Linked DNA regions of Oryctolagus cuniculus. Each later gene encodes a partner of the first gene's protein in a complex. Links are inferred from orthologs where the notes say so. Each region holds a gene or a part of one and is shown on either strand. Other genes may lie near its edges. The genes, in order: PRKAA2 and PRKAG1.

The links.
Region 2: the proteins of PRKAA2 (region 1) and PRKAG1 are in contact, whole or in part, in a crystal structure (PDB 6B1U), measured with the Homo sapiens proteins. The link is inferred for Oryctolagus cuniculus from reciprocal best matches to the Homo sapiens genes PRKAA2 and PRKAG1. Residues at the interface, in NP_006243.2 of Homo sapiens: Asp329, Asn330, Ile333, Met334, Ala337, Phe340, Tyr341, Leu342, His366, Pro367, Glu368, Arg369, Met370, Pro371, Pro372, Leu373, Ile374, Asn444, Val446, Thr447, Pro530, Arg531, Leu532, Gly533, Ser534, His535, Thr536, Met537, Asp538, Glu541; in NP_002724.1 of Homo sapiens: His36, Asp40, Leu41, Ile42, Pro43, Thr44, Ser45, Val50, Phe62, Leu64, Val65, Thr66, Gly68, Val69, Arg70, Trp75, Ser77, Lys78, Lys79, Gln80, Phe82, Pro158, Glu159, Ser160, Gly161, Asn162, Lys170, Arg171, Lys174, Phe175.

What each region holds. Positions count from the first base shown.
Region 1 is NC_091438.1:116,548,010-116,552,621, reverse strand, and holds the start of PRKAA2 (5'-AMP-activated protein kinase catalytic subunit alpha-2), read left to right. Parts: upstream 1-1,543; 5' UTR 1,544-2,194; coding exon 2,195-2,288; intron 2,289-4,612. UniProt on the Homo sapiens protein: Catalytic subunit of AMP-activated protein kinase (AMPK), an energy sensor protein kinase that plays a key role in regulating cellular energy metabolism.
Region 2 is NC_091442.1:52,469,773-52,472,417, reverse strand, and holds part of PRKAG1 (5'-AMP-activated protein kinase subunit gamma-1), read left to right. Parts: intron 1-1,174; coding exon 1,175-1,284; intron 1,285-1,482; coding exon 1,483-1,564; intron 1,565-1,648; coding exon 1,649-1,707; intron 1,708-1,845; coding exon 1,846-1,891; intron 1,892-1,980; coding exon 1,981-2,035; intron 2,036-2,578; coding exon 2,579-2,645. UniProt on the Homo sapiens protein: AMP/ATP-binding subunit of AMP-activated protein kinase (AMPK), an energy sensor protein kinase that plays a key role in regulating cellular energy metabolism.

The DNA.
Region 1 (4,612 bases):
TAAAAATGACTGGTTGTGCTCTCAAAATTGCCAGCTAGGTAGTGTGATTCTTAAATGATACTTCTTGTCAGCAAGAAAGATGATCCGAAGAATGAACGAAAATAGCCTCTGTGTAACAGGTGCGATATCTGTAATTTATAAGTGGTGTTCATCTCTCATCAGATTGTCTTGGTGTCTAGCCAAGAATGAATAGATGCCATTTGTATATTTACTACTTTTCAGAAAGCAAAAAAAAAAAAAAATTTCACAACCTAGTCTTTCTGATCAATATATTCTTTACATGTAAGCAGTATAACAGACTTCAAGCTTGAGGAATGTGACCTTGAAACTCCACTAGCAAGCACAGTGCTAAAAGCATCTCACTAATTTTTAACAATTCATCTTCAAATAGCAAATAATCTTAAAATTAATCTTTAAAAATTTTACATCATTGAAAAATGAAAATTTTACACACATCAGATGCAACATGTTGTTTTGAAATGTATATAATAGTGGAATGGCTACATCAAGCCAGTAACACATGCATTAGTCATAATAGCTGTTTTTGTGGTGAGAAACAAATAATTATAGTAATAATTTTGAAAGATAGGACAACATTGAAGAATAGGATACTATTAAACAAAGGAAGGAAAGAGGGGAAGGAATGAAGAGATGGAAGAGATCAGCACTTCACCTAGTTCTTTCTCTCTCTCTTTTTTTCTTTCTTTTTAATATTCCCTCCCCAGGCAGGGGTGGTGGTGGTGGTGGGGGAGGAATCATGATTCTCATTTCCTCTTACCATTTTTTTCTACTTATCATACTTTAAATTGTGTCTTTATACTGTCCTTGCTTTTCACAATTCCTTTGTCCTTCATGTACAAGGGTACTTTAAATGTTCGTGGAACAATGAAATTAAAAGGCAAGCTTATTTTGGTGCCAAAGACTTTGAAATCCATGCACAGTTTTTCATCATACACATTTTCATGAACTTGATGAAGACCGCTCATTCACGTGTTTTTCAAAGTAAACATTTCAATTAAATTTATCTTCCATGGGGTTAAAAATTAATTTGAAAGAGAGAGGGAGAGGGAAAAGGAGAGGGAGAGGGAGAGAGAGAGAGAGGGAGAGGGAGGGAGGGAGGGAGAGAGAGAGAGAGAGAGATCTCATCTGCTGATTCACTCTCCAAATTTCCACAAAGGCCAGAGCTGGGCCAGGGCCAGGAGGGGAGCTGGGAATTCAGTCCAGGTCTCCCACGTGAGTGGCAGGGTCCCAAGGGTCTGAGTTATCCTGCGGCCTCCCTGGGTCTGCATCAGCAAGAAGCTGGAGTCAGGAGCGGTGGCCGGCTATGGGGCGCCGTGTCCCTCCAAGAACTTTTTGGAACACCTTTGTAATTTACTTCCTGTGCACTCACCATTCCTTCCTGGGCAGCTCTGTCACATATCATTTCCCTACTGTGTATGTATATAGGCAGGCGATCAAACACCCGAGCTAACACGGCGACGGGGATTTACTGGAAGCTGCACATCGGTTACAGCTGAGATCTCTCTTCCATCTAAGGACAAAGCAAGTGAGAATGATGAAGTAGGCAGAGGAGGACAAGTGAGGAGAGCACCGCTGTGAGTGCTCCAATAGCTGGATCAGAAACAGCCGAGACCCCGGCAACTTCCCCGGGGCGCTCCCCCGACTGCCCTTTGCACCGGCCCCTGGCCTCCGCCTCCCAGCCCACATCGCGGTTTGGGGCTTTGGGCCTGTTTCTCTTCAAATTCGACTTCCACCTCTTTCCATTCCCTCAGATCGGATCCAGGTCTCACCCCCACAGTCCCATTCTCTCGGCTCTCCCTCAGAGAGCGCCCCCAGCCACCCTCGCCCTCGGGTCGCCGCCGCCGCCCGCCCTCTCAGCACCTGCCGCCCGCCGACCCTCGCTGCCATCCGCGCACCTGGCTGGGCCCCGCCCTCTCTCCCAGCCTGCGCCCCGCGCCCTCAGCGCGGCCGCCGCCGCCTCCGGCTCCGCCACAGGCGTCGGTCACGCCGGGCCGCGGCTCCCCGCTCCGGACTCGGTCGCGCCCTCTCCCGGGACCCCGGCCGCCGGCGCCCGCGCCCCTCGTCGCCTGCGGCCCGCCCCCCGCGGGTCCCGCTGCACTGTGGGTAGGCGGCGGCGGCGGCGGCGGCGTCCGCGCTGAGGGGCCGCGGCGGAGCGAGGCCGCGCGAGCCGAAGATGGCTGAGAAGCAGAAGCATGACGGGCGGGTGAAGATCGGTCACTACGTTCTGGGGGACACGCTGGGCGTCGGCACCTTCGGCAAAGTGAAGAGTTGAGTACGCGCCGAGGCCGCAGCCGCTCGGGGCTGCGGGGCTGGCGGGTGGCTGGGCCGGGCCGAGCAGCGAACCGGCGCAGGGCCCCGCGGCAGGTGGCGCGGCTCCGGGCAGCTGAGAACGTGGACCCCGCGCGGGCGGCGGGCAGCGCCTCGCCCAGCAGCGGCGCCCCGGCCTGGCAGGCGGGGCTGGGGGCGAGCGCTAGAGAGTGGGCTGGGGGACAGGGGTCCTGGGCTCCAGGTCCAACGCCTGTCATCTGGGCGGTGGTCGGGGCCAGGTGCTTCCCTGCTGGCGTCCCCTTCTGCACAGCTGGGAGGTTGTAGCATACCCGTCAGGTGCCCTCCAGCTCGGACACCGTGTGGGGAGAGCTGGGCAGTACTGCAGGCTACCCGTAGATGATGATTGAGTTGCCGTTTGGTGCCCGGCGCCCTATCAGGGGCGTTACGTGTGATTTCTTTAAATCCGTACTTGGTCCAGCTGTGACCCTCACCTTGCAGGGGAAGCAAACTGGAACCCCTAAGGGTTGAGTAGCATGCCCAAGGTCACACTGAAATTGGCAGCGCGGGATGAAGTCTAAGATGTCCTCCGGTTCTAGCCTTGCTCAGAGGTCCCTGCTACCCCCAGATTCTGTGATGTTGTAGCACTCTGGGTTGGCAGGGCCTCCTGTTAAGCGGACGCCCAGTGGGCCGGCGAGGGTGGGCCTGGGAAACGCTGGAATGCCGCTGGGTGGGCTCCGATAATTAGACCTAGGAGGGCTCGAGGTTGATTGGTTTGAGTGCAGGGGCTCCAGGAAGCCTCTGGGATGATGGAGAGAGATAAAGGTATTGGTGTTGGAGAAGGGCTGAGGTCGGAACTGCTAAGAAATTTTTGCTGAGGTCTGTTTTCTTGGAGATGCAATTACACTTAGGGTGTAGAAAAATAGCCTGCTTTTGAAAGTTTATACTTCTTATTAGTTAAGTAATTAGTAAGAAGAACTAGTTAGGCATTGAACTTTGCTGGGGGTGGGGGGATGGACACACACACACACACACACACACACACACCTTCTTCCATCCACTGGTTCATTTCCCAAATTCAGGAGCTAGAATCTTCATCCAGGTTTCCCACCTGGGTGGAAGGGACCCAAGTACTTGAGCCATAACCTGCTGCCTTCCCAGCTCATTAGCAGGAGGCTGAGTCAGAAGTGGAGGAACTGGGACTCCAATCCCAGGCACTCCAGTATGGGATTTACAGGTCCCAAGTGGTGGATTAAGCAGCTGAGCCCTCTTCCTTTTCCATTTTGTTCATAAGAGTTATATGAGATTTAGTAATCATGTCCTCTCTCCATAATTGGAGCCAGTTTATTTATTTATGTATTTATTTATTTTTAACTTTTATTTAATTAATATAAATTTCCAAAGTACAGCTTATGGATTACAGTGGCTTCCCCCCCTCCATAACTTCCCTCCCACCCACAACCCTCCCCTTTCCCACTCCCTCTCCCCTTCCATTCACATCAAGATTCATTTTCAATTCTCTTTATATACAGATCAGTTTAGCATATATTAAGTAAAGATTTCAACAGTTTGCACCCACATAGAAACACAAAGTGAAAAATACTGTTTAAGTACTAGCTATAGCATTAAATCACAATGTGCAGCACATTAAGGACAGAGATCCTACATGAGGAGTAAGTGCACAGTGACTCCTGTTGTTGACTTAACAAATTGACACTCTTGTTTATGGCCTCAGTAATCACCCTAGGCTCTTGTCATGAGTTGCCAAGGCTATGGAAGCCTTTTGAGTTCACCAACTCTGATCATATTTAGACAAGGTCGTAGTCAGAGTGGAAGTTCTCTCCTCCCTTCAGAGAAAGGTACCAATTGGAGCCAGTTTATTAAAAGTACTTTGTTGCAAATCCAGAAGTGTAAGGACAATGTTGTTTTTTGTTTTGTTTTCTTTTTGCTGAAGACATCTGGGTAGGCTGGAAATTCTACTCTGCTGTCTCTGTTTCATTGTAGACTTCATGTTTTAACCTCAAGTAAATGTAGAAGAGACTCATTGTTCGTTCTTGTGGCAAGATCAGTGGGAATTTTCTTCCACATATCTGATACCCATTCATTTGTTGAGAAAACACTGAGAACCTGCAGTGTGGTAGGCACTGTGGTAGGCCATGGTGACTCAGGTAGGAACAAAATCAAATCTTTTATGAGGCTTACATTTTTAATAGGGGAAGACAATACTCAGAATCTACACAAGGGTTCAAAAAGTCCATGGAATATGGAATTAAAAGATGTTTGTTTAGCTGCAAAACAATTTTGAAATCCTTGCATAGCTTTTTCA
Region 2 (2,645 bases), on another chromosome or scaffold:
GGAGCCAGGTGCTTCTCCTGGTCTCCCATGCGGGTGCAGGGTCCAAGCACTTGGGCCATCCTCCACTGCACTTCCCGGGCCACAGCAGAGAGCTGGCCTGGAAGAGGAGAAACCGGGACAGAATCCGGCGCCCCGACCGGGACTGGAACCCGGTGTGCCAGCACCACAAGGCGAAGGATTAGCCTAGTGAGCCGCGGCGCCGGCCAGCTATTTTTTCTTAATCAAACTTGTAAAACTATTTGGTTCTTTAAACTTTGTGCCCATATAGCTTTGGTTTAAAAAAAAAAAAAAAAAAAAAAAAACCACAACTGTTGAAAATCAAACTGGCCTTGGATTTTAGAGCATGAACTTACAACCTTTGGAATCAGGTAGCTCTCGGTTTGAGTCTTTTTCGCTGCTTCCCAGTGGGAATGACCTCGCATGGTTTGTTTAGCTGCTGTACACCTGCTTTCATCTGAACCCCGGGGGGACAGGGCCGACCTCGGCGAGCTCGGTGACATACCATCTTTAAGTACATATAGCATAGGACTGAACATACCCAGGCTGTTATTTTGGAGATTTGATTCTCCAGTTTTGTGTAGGCAGTTCCAATCACAGGAAAGAAAAGGATCTCCCATTTGTCTGGAGTGGGTAGAAGGATTTTGATTCACGAGGTGAGCCTCAATTGGATTCCCATGGCGCCTGGGGCCATGCTGTTATGAGCACAGGGCTCCAACCCAGCATGGATGGGAAACAGCCCAGTTTGGACCATGACTTTCTCATTGACTGGTCTTGGGAGAATTTTAAGAAGCTTATTTGATTTTTTTTTTTTTTTTGTATTCACTGAGAAAAGACATCAAGTGAAAATGTGCTAAATATATGGAAGGAGAACTTGGATTAAAAATAAGAAAAAAACATTTAGACTGGAACAGGCTAATGAGAGCTGTTGCAGACTTCATGTTTTAGTCAGTCCTGTTTTTTTTTTTTTTTTCAACCTAAGGAGGCAACTAATAGATTTAGTCTTACTGGGGGTAGGGGTTGGATGAAATGTCCTCTAAGGGGTTTATCTAGGCTTTGTGGTAACCGTAGGAACTTAACAGAGTAGGAAGTCTTATAAAAGCTATTATTTAAGTGTTGAGAAACTAGAAACTTTTGTTCCGTGGAAGGAAGCCACTAATTGCCACACCCTATGCAGACACCCCAGACTCCAACAATAGCGTGTATACTTCCTTCATGAAGTCTCATCGCTGCTATGACCTGATACCCACAAGCTCCAAACTCGTTGTATTTGACACCTCTCTGCAGGTGAGTGAAGCAGTCTTTGTCCCATCCCCCTTCCTCGGAGCCTCTGGTCCCATACCGCTCAGCCTGTATCCTACCAACGGTGATAGCCTTGCCCTTCTATGGGGTCAGTCTCAGGTTTTTCCAAAATAAACCAACCCCTCTTTGCTGCAGTCCTGCACCCTGTGAATTCCTCTTAAACCGTTACTGTCTCGGCCACAGGTGAAGAAAGCTTTCTTTGCACTGGTGACTAATGGTGTGCGAGCTGCCCCTTTGTGGGATAGTAAGAAGCAAAGTTTTGTGGGTAAGCAAAAGTGCCTGGGACAGAGGGTTGCTGGGCAGAGGGCAAAGCTTTGGGCAGTGCTGAGGGCTTCGTCTTGGCCTCCAGGTATGCTGACCATCACGGACTTCATCAACATCCTGCACCGCTACTATAAATCTGCCTTGGTAAGGAGCCTTAGCCCAGTGACCAAAACCATGTCCCTGTCCAAAGACCCTCATTGCTCTTTCTTTTGCTTTAAGCACGCCATGGAGGTTAAGGAATCCGGGAGATTAGGTTTCCAATTCTGTTGCTTCTGTTTCCAGGTACAAATCTATGAACTAGAAGAACACAAGATAGAAACTTGGAGAGGTACGTGGAGACTTTGGTTTGTAAAAGGCCGAAAGGGGCGGAGGTTTCTCCATGGGGATACTGCAGGACCCGTCCTTTTTCCCTTTCAGAGGTGTACCTGCAAGACTCCTTTAAGCCGCTTGTCTGCATTTCTCCTAATGCCAGGTGAGCGCTGGCTATCTGTCCAGTGTGTGGCACAGCAGTTATGGTGCTGCTTGGGAATGCCCACATCCCATACCAGCGTGCATGGGTTTGAGTCCCAGCCACGGCCCTGATTCCAGCTTCCCACTAACGTGCCCTCTGGGAGGCAGCGGGTGCAGGCTGCAGCACTTGGGAGATCCAGATTGAGTGCTGACTCCTGGCTTCTGCCTGGTCTGGCATTAGGGGAGTGAACCAGTGAATGGGAGATCTGTGTCTCTCTGCCCTTTAAATATAATGAAAATAAATAAATAAAAATTAAAAAAAAGAAAAGAAAAGACATATCTTGCCGTCAGCCTAGCCAAAGCCCTAAATACTCAAAGACCAGGGGAAAGAGTAGAAGAGGAAAAGGAGATTCCTCCCATCTCTCTCTCTCTCTGGTCTGAATGCTGTCCCTCTCCTAACCCCCACTTTCCCTGTTTATATCCACACTCTAAGGAGTTGGTTAACCGCCCTCTGCCCTAGCGCTCTGGCTCGCATCATGATTCCCCCCCCCCAACCTTCCCGCAGTTTGTTTGATGCTGTCTCTTCGTTAATTCGGAACAAGATCCACAGGCTGCCAGTGATCGACCCGGAA